3 linked regions of the Notamacropus eugenii genome follow. The protein of the gene in region 1 interacts with the protein of each later gene in a pairwise test. Links are inferred from orthologs where the notes say so. Each region holds a gene or a part of one and is shown in the gene's direction. Other genes may lie near its edges.

Region 1 (3,744 bases):
TGGGGAGAAGCCTCCTTCCACCCCAGAGCTGTGGGGCTCGAAGCCTGGGCAGGGCCAGACAGAGGGGGTGGTCCTGTGTGAGACACCTTGTACTGCCTTTGGCACAGCCTGCTGGGCCTTCACGGGCAGTATCTGGTCAGGAGGGTAATGGTGATGAGTTATCATGGCTCGGCCTGCTGCAGCCAGCTGGGGGTTCTAAAGAGTAGCCCCTCCTGCCTCTCACAACCAGGAAACAAATAAATCTTGACTGTTCCATCCTTTCTAAGTACTACCTCTGCTTCCGGCAGCCTGTGAGGAGGACAAAGGAAAAATAGAACTGTGTCTGCCCTCCAGGAGGCTGTTAGGGCGGGATGAGACAGGAGCACAAATGACCAGCAGGGCCATTTAGCAGCAAGTAAATGGCAGAGGAAGGGGATTGATGATTGTTAAAGGTTCAGAGAGGGAGGGCTGCCCACTGAGGAAGCCTCTGAGTTCGGGGGAGGGGACAGCAGGAACAGGACTAAGCCAGGAAAATTTGCAAAAGTCCAAGGAGGACCTTGGAATCAAGTTCGCTTTCACAGAGTTCATAAGGCAATAATTTCTTGAGACACAAGATGGTGCTGAATACCTCAGGAAAGCAGCTGGGACAAGTGGTTGGACCCACACTGGCCAACTGTTAAGGCTTTAAGGAATTGTAACATTGGTGGAGGAGATGGAGAAGTTGGCTATGGCCTCTTTCCTGGCAGAATGCCCCTGCTGGCCTGATTCTTATCAAACACCGGATGGAAGACCTGACTGCCTGCTGGTCAGATGGCCACTGGTACTTTTTCTGAGCATCTCTTTTCTCATCTGTAAGATGAGGATTTGTACCTCGAGTGGAGGACAAGGCTTAGTTATGTTGACTAGGAAACCAAGTCTTCACCTCCTGATAGACCTCCCTTAGCCAGTTCCCCCCTTGTAAAGAGCTGGGCGGCAGCGCTCCTGGCCCATGACCGGGCTGCTCCGAGCTTGCCCTGGAAGGCCCCCCACCTTGAGATCGGAGGTGGGAACAGAACCCCTGGCCTTGGATTCGGAGGCAGTTGCCATGCCCCTGAGGAGCTGTGATTGCGGCTGGACTCGCGGCGGAAGGGCCCATCCCGGTCCGTCGGGTTCTAAGTCCATCCCCGGGTTCTCCCCTACACCCGGGGCCACCCCGAAGCCTCCGTGGGGCTCACAAAGACTCGGAGAGCGGCCAGGGCCGTGGAGGGCCACTCCCCTCGCCTTTAAAGAGCTGGGAAGCCGAGTCGTGGGGTCGGGGCGCAGCGGAGGGACAGTGACCGGAGAATCCCGGGGCGGGGCTGCTGAGGAGGAGGGCTGCCGGAAGAGGCACCAAAGCCAGGGAGATTGGGAGAGCGGAAGCTGGAGAGGGGGGAGGCGGGGAGGCGGCCGGGCGGCGCTGGGACCCGGGGGCGGCCGCAGAACAAGGGAGCCGCTGCCGCCGCGGCCCGGAGAGCGAGCCGCCGAGCGCAGCGCCGCGCAGGCATCGGAGCCCAGCGCTCCGGCCGGGTCCGAGGCCAGGGCGCCGGGACCATGGGGGAGACCAAGATCATCTACCACCTGGACGGCCAGGAGACGCCGTACCTGGTGAAGCTGCCCCTGCCCGCCGAGCGCGTCACCCTGGCCGACTTCAAGGGCGTCCTGCAGCGGCCCACCTACAAGTTCTTCTTCAAGTCTATGGACGACGACTTCGGGTGAGCGTGGGCGCCGAGCGGGGAGCCCGGGGGCAGGACAGCGCCGAGGGGCCTCCGCCCAGGCCTGGCCCGGGGGGTGGGGGGGGCGGTGCCCACCGGGCACCCGTGCCAGCTGGCTGCCAGGAGCAAAACTTCGGGCTGGTGGGCGGTGCCGCCGCCACCGCACCCCCAAAGTGGCGGCTCTTTGGGGTCCCAGGGTCAGGTCCGCGGGTCTCGGGGGCTCCTCCTCTCCAGGCTGCTCGGAGCCCTAAGGGGCGGGAGCCACCGGCGAGGAGGATCTCTTTTCTCCGGGAGGCCCGGCCGGGGCTCTCCCCCTTTCCCCTTCGGGGCCTACACTCTTGCTCTAAGCCAGCCCCAATGCCCAGCATGGGGTGGGGGGGGATTTAGAAGAGAGACTTTCCCTTTAAGAGGGGATGGAATGTTGGAGCGAATGTTGCTGCAGCCGGAAGGTTTTGTAGCAGCTGGCCTGGAGAGGCCCCCCTTTCCCTCCTCCCCCTCCCCCCCAGCTCCCCTGGGAATGGGGGAGGGGCTCCCACTCAATCTGGCAGGAGAAGGGACTGGGGGCTAGGCTAGGAGGCCCCGTGGGGGTGGCCTGATAGGCTGCCTCCTCCGCTCCCCCCGTCCCCAAGTCTGGTTCTCTCCTTTCTCCACCCGGGTCCTGCTTTGTGGAAGGGAAGACCTCGAATTATGGGGAGGGGGTCATTCACCGTCCAGCCAGCTTCTTCTTCCAGGCTGGCCCATCCCTTCGAACAGAGAGAATCACTGGAGATGATAATACATGTAAAGTGCTTGGCCGGATCTGCAGATGTCAGCTCCCAGTATTACGGTCCTGCCCTGGCCCAGGAGGTCTCCATTTCTTACCCCTCCAGTTCTCTTGACCCAGGCAGCAAGAGGAGCCAGCAAAGAGGGCACCTGGGAGAAGACAGCAGGGTCAGGACCTTCAGTGGAGTTTGACTAATTTGGCCACATAGACATTGAATTCACCAAACATTGATTAGGTGCCTACTGTCTGCCTGATACTAGGAAAACAAAGAAAAAAGGAGCCTGCCCCTGTCCTCAAGGGGCTTCTGTTCTGCTCTATAGAACGGCAGACAGTAAATGGTACAGATGCCTAAATATGTGAGGTCACTTGAGAAATTGAGGAAGGTCTTCAGCAGGTTAGATGGGATCCAGTAGGATGAATTCATGGGAAAGCATGAATGGATTGAGATTTGCATTAGTGGAGGAGCCAAGTGAATCAGTTAGTTCATGGATATGTTGGAGGGTTCTTGAGGAGGGATTCAGGAAGGCTTTACTGGAAGAACTTACTCTGAAAGGAGAGAAGAGTTTTAAAAGAGAAGAGGGAGGAGGGCATCTTAGAGATGGGGATAATTTGGACAAAAGCCCAGAGGTAGGAAATGGAGCTCGTAGGCCAGCTTGGTTGGTATGTAGTAGACAAGAAGGAGGGTAGCATTAAAGTCAAGATGAGGAGTTTGTCTTTTATTCTAATGGCAAGGGAAGGCTCATGAAGGTTTGTCATCATTGATTGGATTTGTGTTTTGGGGAACATGATTTTAGCACCTGCATGGGAAGGGAAGGCTCATGAAGGTTTGTCATCATTGATTGGATTTGTGTTTTGGGGAACATGATTTTAGCACCTGCATGGGATGACTAGGAAAGTGGGAGACAAAGATGATGAGGGCCTTTTGAGCGGGATTTTAAAAAAAGGGGGGGGACTGTTGTGGGAGATTTAGAGGTGGAATTGACTGGATATGTCCTAAAAGGAAGAGGGAAGATGGAGGCTGAATGTGAGCTAACCACACTGGGGGTGTAGAGGAATGGTAGAATCCTCAACAGAAAGAGGGAAGTTTGGGGAAGGGGAAGGCTTTGAAACACCAACTGGACTTCCAGGGTGACATGTCCCCATTGTTGATGGACACAATTTGTAGGAAAGAAGCCAAAGAGGAAAATGAGGAGTGGATGGAAGATGGAGTAGTGGAAGTGGATGAAGAGATATATTGACGTGTGCTCTAGGGAAGCCAGCTAAGGGACTCTA
Region 2 (3,744 bases), about 270 Mb from region 1:
CTCAGAAAGAAAAATATTTCCTGTTCTCAAGGAGCTTACTTTCTAACATGAAGGAAGTGGAGGGGAGAGAAAGGGTACCCACCGGAAGAGATGGGGAATGGTACGGAAAATTGGGGAAAGTCAGAAGCACAGCCTAAAGAGGAATAAGACATGGTTGACTGGGGCATCCTTCTTAAAATGAAGGCTTAGAAAGCAACCCGGTAACCAGAGGGAGAGGCTCAAGTGGGCAGAGGGCAATTCCAGTATGAGAATTCCAGAGGTGAAGTAAACTTCCAAGGTGAAGCATGTTAGTGCAAAAGTCTAAGACAGTCAGCAGTAAGGCTTGGAGTTGGATGTAGGTAGCAATTCAGTATAGATTAAGGAGAAAGACTGGACGGTGGGCTTCCTCTGAATACTTCAGAAGGGCCGTCCACATTTTGAATCTCTTGTAATAAGGGATTACAGTTATAGGGCCTTTGTCAACTGAAATCCCTTCTCTACACCTTCCCTTACCCTTTCTCTGTTTTTGTTTTTTTCTCTTGTGAGGCTTGGCTATTTTTCATCCTACAGGTCTAGGTGAGAGAGAGAGGAACAGAGAGAGAGAGACAGAGAGACAGAGAGAGAGACAGAGAGGGAGAGAGGGACAGAGAGAGAGAGAGAGACAGAGAGTGAGACAGAGAGGGACAGAGAGAGAGAGACAGGGAGAGACAGAGAGACACAAAGACAGAGAGAGAGAGTTCTCCACCATGGATTTCAAAGGCTGCTGAGAACTCCCATTTTCCCGAGACTCCAAGACAAGGGCCCCAAGTCTTTGCTTTCTTGGGCTCTTAAAAGACCGCCTCTTCCCCTGCCTCCAGCTGCCCAGGACAAGAAGAGGGCTAAGTGGACATTCTGCAGGGCTTCCTCTCCCCAGCTTGTTTGCCTCCAGTCCTGCCCCTGCCCTGACCACGGAGAGGCCGGTGAGGACAGGCTCGGGCCACAGGCTCCTTTGGGCCCACGAGGAGGTGGGGGAAACTGATCCCGAACCCGAGAATCTTTCCCCAGTGCCGTCTGGGCGGTGATCAGGTAGAACTGAGCCAAAGGGGTCTGGGACCCCAGCCTTCTCCTCGGCTCTCCCCATTTCGGGGGTTTGTTTCAGAGGCTTTGGAGAGGGTCTCAATGGCAGAGGGGGGCTGGTTTAGAAAAGGAAGTGTTAGGTGGACGGGGGGGTCTGGACGGGGGGGATCTGGACGGGTCACTGCCTAGGGGTGCGGCGGGGGGGGCTGATGTACAGGTAAGGCTCGGCTTTCCCCAGGTGAGTCACTACTGACACGTCCTCCAAGAGACCACGGCCAAACCGATCGGGCCAGGCGCACCACACAAGCCCAGGGAGGCTCTCACCCCCAGCCCACCCGCCCAGCCGCAGGCTCCGGCCGCCTTTGCCCTCACACTCCGCTCTCCCCGCCCCCGCCCCGCTGGTGTCCCCAGAGCAGCGCGGGCCCCGCCCCGCCGGGTTGCTAGGGGAAGTGACGTCACAGCGCGATGGCGGCGGCTCCTTTAGGCGGCTGAAGTGGGATTTAGGCCCGGAAGATCCGAGTCCATCCGTGGTGGGGAGAGGGCGAACGGGGCCGGCGGGGGCCGGAGCAGGGGCGGCGGCGCTCGGACTGTCCCATCCGCCCCATATTGAGGCGCTGGGAGCGGCGGGGCGGCCGGAAAGCGATGGTGAAAGCGGGGCCGTGAGGGGGGCGGAGCCGGGAGCCGGACCCGCATTAGCGGCAGCAGCGGCGCCGCCTCCCCCGGAGCGCAGACCCAGGAAGCGGTCGGGAGGGGAGGGAGCGAACCAGGCCGGAGCCGAAGCCACCACCGTCATGGAGCTGAGAGTTGGGAACAGGTACCGGCTGGGCCGAAAGATCGGCAGCGGCTCCTTTGGAGACATCTATCTTGGTGAGGATTGAAGCCCAGTCCCCTCCCCCCCCCCCGGCCCTGCTCCCGCAGCGAACTACCCCCCTTTCCATACTGCCCCCCCCATACACTCGGCTTCCTTTCACCCCCCAGCCCCGCATTGCCACCCCCCCCCGCCCCCGGCTCCTGCCCTCTCGTCGCTTCCGCCAGTCTTCCTGGACCATCATAGCCTTTCATCACCCCGGGATGCTCTCCCCCCATTACCCTCTGCCCCAGGTTTCCCCATTACTGTGGTGTACCTCAGCCCAGACAAAACACCCCACCCCACCCCAGCACCTTTGTTGAGCCGCAGCCTGGGCTCGGTCCTCATACCCCTCGGTGGCCATCTCCGGCTCTCCGGGGGAATCGAACTCGAGTCTCGAGCCCCTGGAGCAGCTGACACCTGCCTGGGAAACCTGGTTGGGCTGGCCTTTGGGGTTTGCCTTCCCCATGAGCTAATTAATGGCCGGGGGGAGGGGAAAGAGCGGGGAGCCTGGAGGGTGTGAGACTTTTTCCAGCGTCCTGTTTGGTTGCTTGTAATTACTTTAGCCCCTTCTGAGAGTGAATCATTTTGCTTCTCTGGTGAATCCTTGGGGGAGATCTAAGACCCCCTGGTGTAACAGCTTTAGGTTCTAACCACTCAGACCATCCATCCATCCTGTTCTCAACTCCCCACCTTTTCCCACCCCCACCTCCCCCAATCAGATTCTGGCCCTGCCCTAGGAGACCAGATCATTGGCTTGAGGGCTCAGGAACCCGAACTGATTGGGGGTTAGAGGGTCATGGAAGGTCTGATACTAATTTTTTCCTGATTCTAGGTCTGACTTTTTGAGTCTCCAAAATAATTTCTTTGGAAAAGATCTTAACATCAAGGGGAAGGTTAATTCACATTTCATCAGCAGAACTTCGACCCTAGGGTTTTATTAGAATGTTAGAGATGGAAGTTACCTTAAGCAGTCCATCTCTCCTGCTCCTCATCCCCCATTTTTATAGCTTAGGAAACTGAGGCCTCGAAGAGGTTTTTTTACACGTTCAAGGTCATACAGCTTATTCATGATAGAGCTTGAACTCAAACCCATTTCTGACTCCCGGATTCGTATTTCTCTCCTTTATACCAGATTGCTTCTTTTGGCTTTGAAATTAAGGGATGAAATCAGCAGTAGCTCTTGAAAGTTAGAACAGTTTGAAATATATTGCTTCCTGAAATTAATATGGTTAAGAGTCTGAATGAAGAAATAAATTTTTGTGTCAATAGTGCTGTGGATTTGAGTTCAAATAACTATTATGTTTTATTTTTTTTTTAGATATGGTATTATGAAGGGGGTATTTATTGTAATGGATGGCTATATTTGCTATAATGCAATTGCCAGTAAGTAAATATCTGAGAGAGCTGTGTTCTTAGTTACCTGGGATGGTGTAACACAGTGCACCAAAGGAAATCTTTGCATTTTCAGTGAAGATCTAAGAGACTGGTGATCAGATTACTGTAACTGTGTCTGTGCTTTTTAGAGAGGATAGGGTAGGGCTTTTGCTACCTCTCCACTGTATTGTCCAAAAATAAACAAAGGCCATGTCTCTTTCAGAAGACTCTACAGCCCCATCTTACTGCTCTCTCTGGGATCCCCATGTGTTCAATAATCTCCATGTGTTTTGTACTCGTGGGGGAAAATGTCAAAACAACGCTAATGCAGTGTGGAAATGGAGAACTACACACTAGTCAAAAGTCCGGAAATTCCACAGTTACAGTTCCTACAGCAACCTTGTTACAGATACGTTCTTGCTTTAGTTCCTTTTTTCCTACCAAACATAAACTTGACAACAGTAGCAACCATGATTAGAGTCATA
Region 3 (3,744 bases), on another chromosome or scaffold:
CAGATGTCCATGAGGGAAACAAGCTAAGGAAATGAAGGCTACAGACCCAGGACCCAAGAAAGGTACAGTCTGTCTTTCTGTATCTCCCCTTTCCCAGCAAGCCCTTACAATATTTTGGATTTGTCAGTCAAATACTGGTATGGTGAAAAGAGCTCTCCATTCTGAGTCAGAAGACCAAGATTCCACTCCCACCCTTGTCATTCAGAAGCTGATCAGGGTGACTCATTTAACTTCGATGGGTCTCAGTTTTCTCATCTGTAAAATGTGAAGAAGAAGAATACGTTACTCACCTCACATAGCTCTTATGAGAAACAAATAAGATATCCGTCAAGTTGTGTGAAAACCTTAAAGCACTAAATTAGTGTAAGTTATTATTACTACTGATCTGTGCTGGGATTTGGGGCTGGAAGGGAGTAAGGAACAAGGTCCCTGCTTCTCATTCTAGTAGGAGGGTCAAGGATTCACAGAACCACCGCATGAATTGTTTGCATGTTAAAGTTACCCTAGAAAGAACTAAATGCAATCCAACCTGTTTCATTTTACAGATATGGCTTGCAGTGTGAAGCAAATGACCATTACGAGGAACACACAAAGGAGTCAATAGCAAAAGTAGCACTCGAACTCAGGTCTTTTGACTTCCAATGTTCTACACCATCTTCATCCCCTCTTTCCCCTCAATAGTGTCAGTGCCCGGGTCCAAAACTAACAAGCACAATCAGAGCCCAAAGCCGGTCAGAGCCGCCCCGCAGGGCGCGCCTATCCCAAGCAGGTTTGACTGGCAGCCTGTGCTTGTCGCTTCCTCTCTCTGACTGAGCAGCGGGTCCCGGACCGACACCAGGAGCCACCAAGGAAGACTCCACGAGCATCTGCCCTCTGCATCCGAAACTTCAACCCCCGAGGGTCTATGTGCCCCCTGGAATACCACCCCTCAGACATATACACAACCTGTAGGGTTTGGAGCTTAGAGCTAGGCTGACAATCTGATCCTGGGCCCCAGCACACACACACGCACACACACATACACACACACACACACACACACACACGCACGCACGCAAGTATACACGAGTCCCCACAGCAGCTTAGTCCTCTTGGAGTGACTGCTAAATCATTGTTCCCCTCATTCATACCCCAGGCTCCGTCTGCCCGCCGTGACTCTCAAGTTTAGGGTTCCCTCTGTGCCCCAGACCCCCCAGCTCTTGAACCCCCTCTCTCCGCCCTCGGGACCGCAGCTTCGAGCGTCTCCGCCCTGTGTCCCTGCCCCGCCCCGTCCCCCGCCCTCCTCGTGGGCTCCAAGCAACAGGAGGAGCGAGCCTGGGTCGAGGCTACCCTGGAGCTGTGGGCTCTAAGCTTTGAGTTTGCGGCCGCCAACCCCTGAGTCCACAGTGACCAGCACCAAGGTGGGTAAGAGCACAGCTTTGGGGAACCAGAAAAGGGAGGTTGAAGGGACGGGACCTGGGGGGGGACAAATGGTAGGGAGCAGAGGGAGATGTTGCTTGGGATGAGGCTAGGGGAACTCCCCACCGGCGGTGGCCCCGGCTGTTCCCCGTTAGGCTACTGAGAGCCTGAGAGCGCTCCACTCTGGGTAACCCTAATTGCCCGAGCCAGAACCACGCCGCTTCCTGCTAATATTGCTCCTTCCTCAGTCCCCGTTTTTGCCAACCGGGGCCTCCTGGCACCTAAGTCCGTGTTTCGGGCCCTGGCCGGCCTGATACCAGGGCTGATCAGACCTGTCTGCCAGCCGAGAAAGGAGCTTTAACTGTTTGAAGGACCGCCCTCCGGAGAAAGGAGCAGAAATGGAGAGGGGGCGCGGAAGCAGTTGGCATAGCAGAGCAGAGAAGTGGAAGGGAACCGGGAGCGGCGGGAAATGTGAGGTAAAAGCTGGGCAGACTAATAGACACACTCTCCCTCTTCCGGGTCCAGTGCTGGAAGTCTTGCCTTTGGCCAGTTGTTTTCCAGATGTGCGTTGTGAGTCTGACTTGGGCGGCTCTGAGTTATAGGAAGGACGATCTCTCCAACCAGGCAGTTTTTAAGGTTGACTGATACTTGGCGTTCCGGGTGCGTTTGGGGGGGCCTGTCAAAGTCTAGCGCGCTGCTGAGCAGACGAGTTCGGTGCGGGAGCAAGGCTTACACGGTGTGTGTGCACATCGAGAGTTGCTTAGAACTGGATCTATATGTGATTGTGTGTTTTTCCTGGGACTGTGGGGGCCGCTGACGCTCAGGATGGTCCAGGGTTCCGCACTCTGCTGACCCACCTCCCCAGTCGCAGAGCCTCCTTGCCTCTGCCCGAGGTTCCGAATGCCCCGGGTGCCGCCGGCCTTCGCTTCGTAGCCTAAGTCCTTGACAAATTTATACCTCGTGTAAATTCTTTAGGAGTTCTGCGCTTCGTCAAAACTGACAAATGCGCTGGGAAATTTAATTCCAGTGGGCTGACCTCACTTTACACGCGGCGATTTCATCCCAAAGAAAAAAGCCGTCCGGGGCCCGAGACCGGCGGTGCCTGGGTGGGGAGAGTTGGGGGCGGGGGGCACGCGGACGAGTGGGAACTGTAGGTAGGAAGAGGAGGAAGAGGGCTTGGCCGACCCCAGACACGTTCACCCTTACCCAAAGTGCTAGCTGATAGGATGGGGAGTGGGGGATCCAGGAAAGGAAGCCAGCTGTAGGGGGGCTGGGGAGAGAGGGGAGGGAGAGTGGAGAGGAAGAAAAATTGGTCGCTGTGACAAGTAGCCAATTTTAACGTATCTAGTAAATGTTATACTTTTATGGACAGCGTTTGCTGGGCTTTTACAGGCTGCAGTAGCCACTTGATCCAGCGCCTTAAAGGGATCCCGGGAAAAGCGAACGTTTTGCCCTGCCTTAGCCTCTGCAATTCAGCCGCTCACCCACCTAGTGCTGAGGCTTAACCTGCAGGTGTCCTTTGGCGGGGGTCGGGGAAAAGAGAGCGTACTCTCAAGGGCACTTCGTTGCCTAAAGAGAAAAGAGGCAGGGTGCTCTATAAGAAGAAAAGGCGAAATTGTATGGGCCTGTGGCTATGTGTCTATGCCCCCTTTCCTTTCAGAGGGACAGTGGCCAAGCCTATGGCCTTGCATTGACGCCCGAGGCGGGGACCTAAGTTGGAGGAGGGAAGGGCTCTATCTTTTTTCCCAAAACTATGCTCCTAATACTCAAAGTCTGGGGAGAATTGGGGAAGAATAAGGGAGTGCACAAACTTTCATATCTGGTTCAGTGGGGAAAATACAATCTGCTTTTTATTTTTTAAATAGAAAAAAATGTCCTTAGATCCTTAAAACCAAATACCAGTTTCCCTAGGCTGAGCTGTGAGGTTATGGGTCTAAATTGGAGGGGCTGGGGTCCAAGGTTTAACCTTCACCCTGTCTGCTTTGCTCCAGACCTTTGGTTCTTGTTCACTGGGCCTTGGTTTCCTACTCTCTAAAGTGGAGAGACAGGGAAAGGAGGGTGGAGAGGGGATGGAGGGAAAAGCTCTGTTCCTTTCTTTTTGCACTCTCTTCGGGGAGAACAAGGACTGGTCGCCGCCAAATAAAGAGCTGGCTGTACAGAAGAGAGAATCGCCAACTTCTCAATGGCTCTCCCGGTCAAGTCTGAACTCGGGACTGTAAGCTACTGGCATCCAGATTCGAGAAGCTTCAGGCTTCGACTTTGGCTGGCCCGGGTTTCCCACCTCTCCCAGCTTTCCCATTTAGGGAAGGCTTCCTCTTGGCAGCGGCCTCCTGCTCCCCTCCCCCT

The links.
Region 2: the proteins of DVL3 (region 1) and CSNK1D interact in binary tests that used the Homo sapiens proteins (3 or more experiments, as listed by UniProt). The two-hybrid records come from large-scale screens. The link is inferred for Notamacropus eugenii from reciprocal best matches to the Homo sapiens genes DVL3 and CSNK1D.
Region 3: the proteins of DVL3 (region 1) and PITX1 interact in binary tests that used the Homo sapiens proteins (3 or more experiments, as listed by UniProt). The two-hybrid records come from large-scale screens. The link is inferred for Notamacropus eugenii from reciprocal best matches to the Homo sapiens genes DVL3 and PITX1.

The regions. Positions count from the first base shown.
Region 1 is NC_092873.1:57,206,424-57,210,167, reverse strand, and holds the start of DVL3 (segment polarity protein dishevelled homolog DVL-3), read left to right. Parts: upstream 1-1,405; 5' UTR 1,406-1,548; coding exon 1,549-1,709; intron 1,710-3,744. UniProt on the Homo sapiens protein: Involved in the signal transduction pathway mediated by multiple Wnt genes.
Region 2 is NC_092873.1:327,097,400-327,101,143, reverse strand, and holds the start of CSNK1D (casein kinase I), read left to right. Parts: upstream 1-1,488; 5' UTR 1,489-1,826; coding exon 1,827-1,902; intron 1,903-3,744. UniProt on the Homo sapiens protein: Essential serine/threonine-protein kinase that regulates diverse cellular growth and survival processes including Wnt signaling, DNA repair and circadian rhythms. It can phosphorylate a large number of proteins.
Region 3 is NC_092872.1:339,789,013-339,792,756, forward strand, and holds the start of PITX1 (pituitary homeobox 1), read left to right. Parts: upstream 1-1,245; 5' UTR 1,246-1,400; intron 1,401-3,744. UniProt on the Homo sapiens protein: Sequence-specific transcription factor that binds gene promoters and activates their transcription. May play a role in the development of anterior structures, and in particular, the brain and facies and in specifying the identity or structure of hindlimb.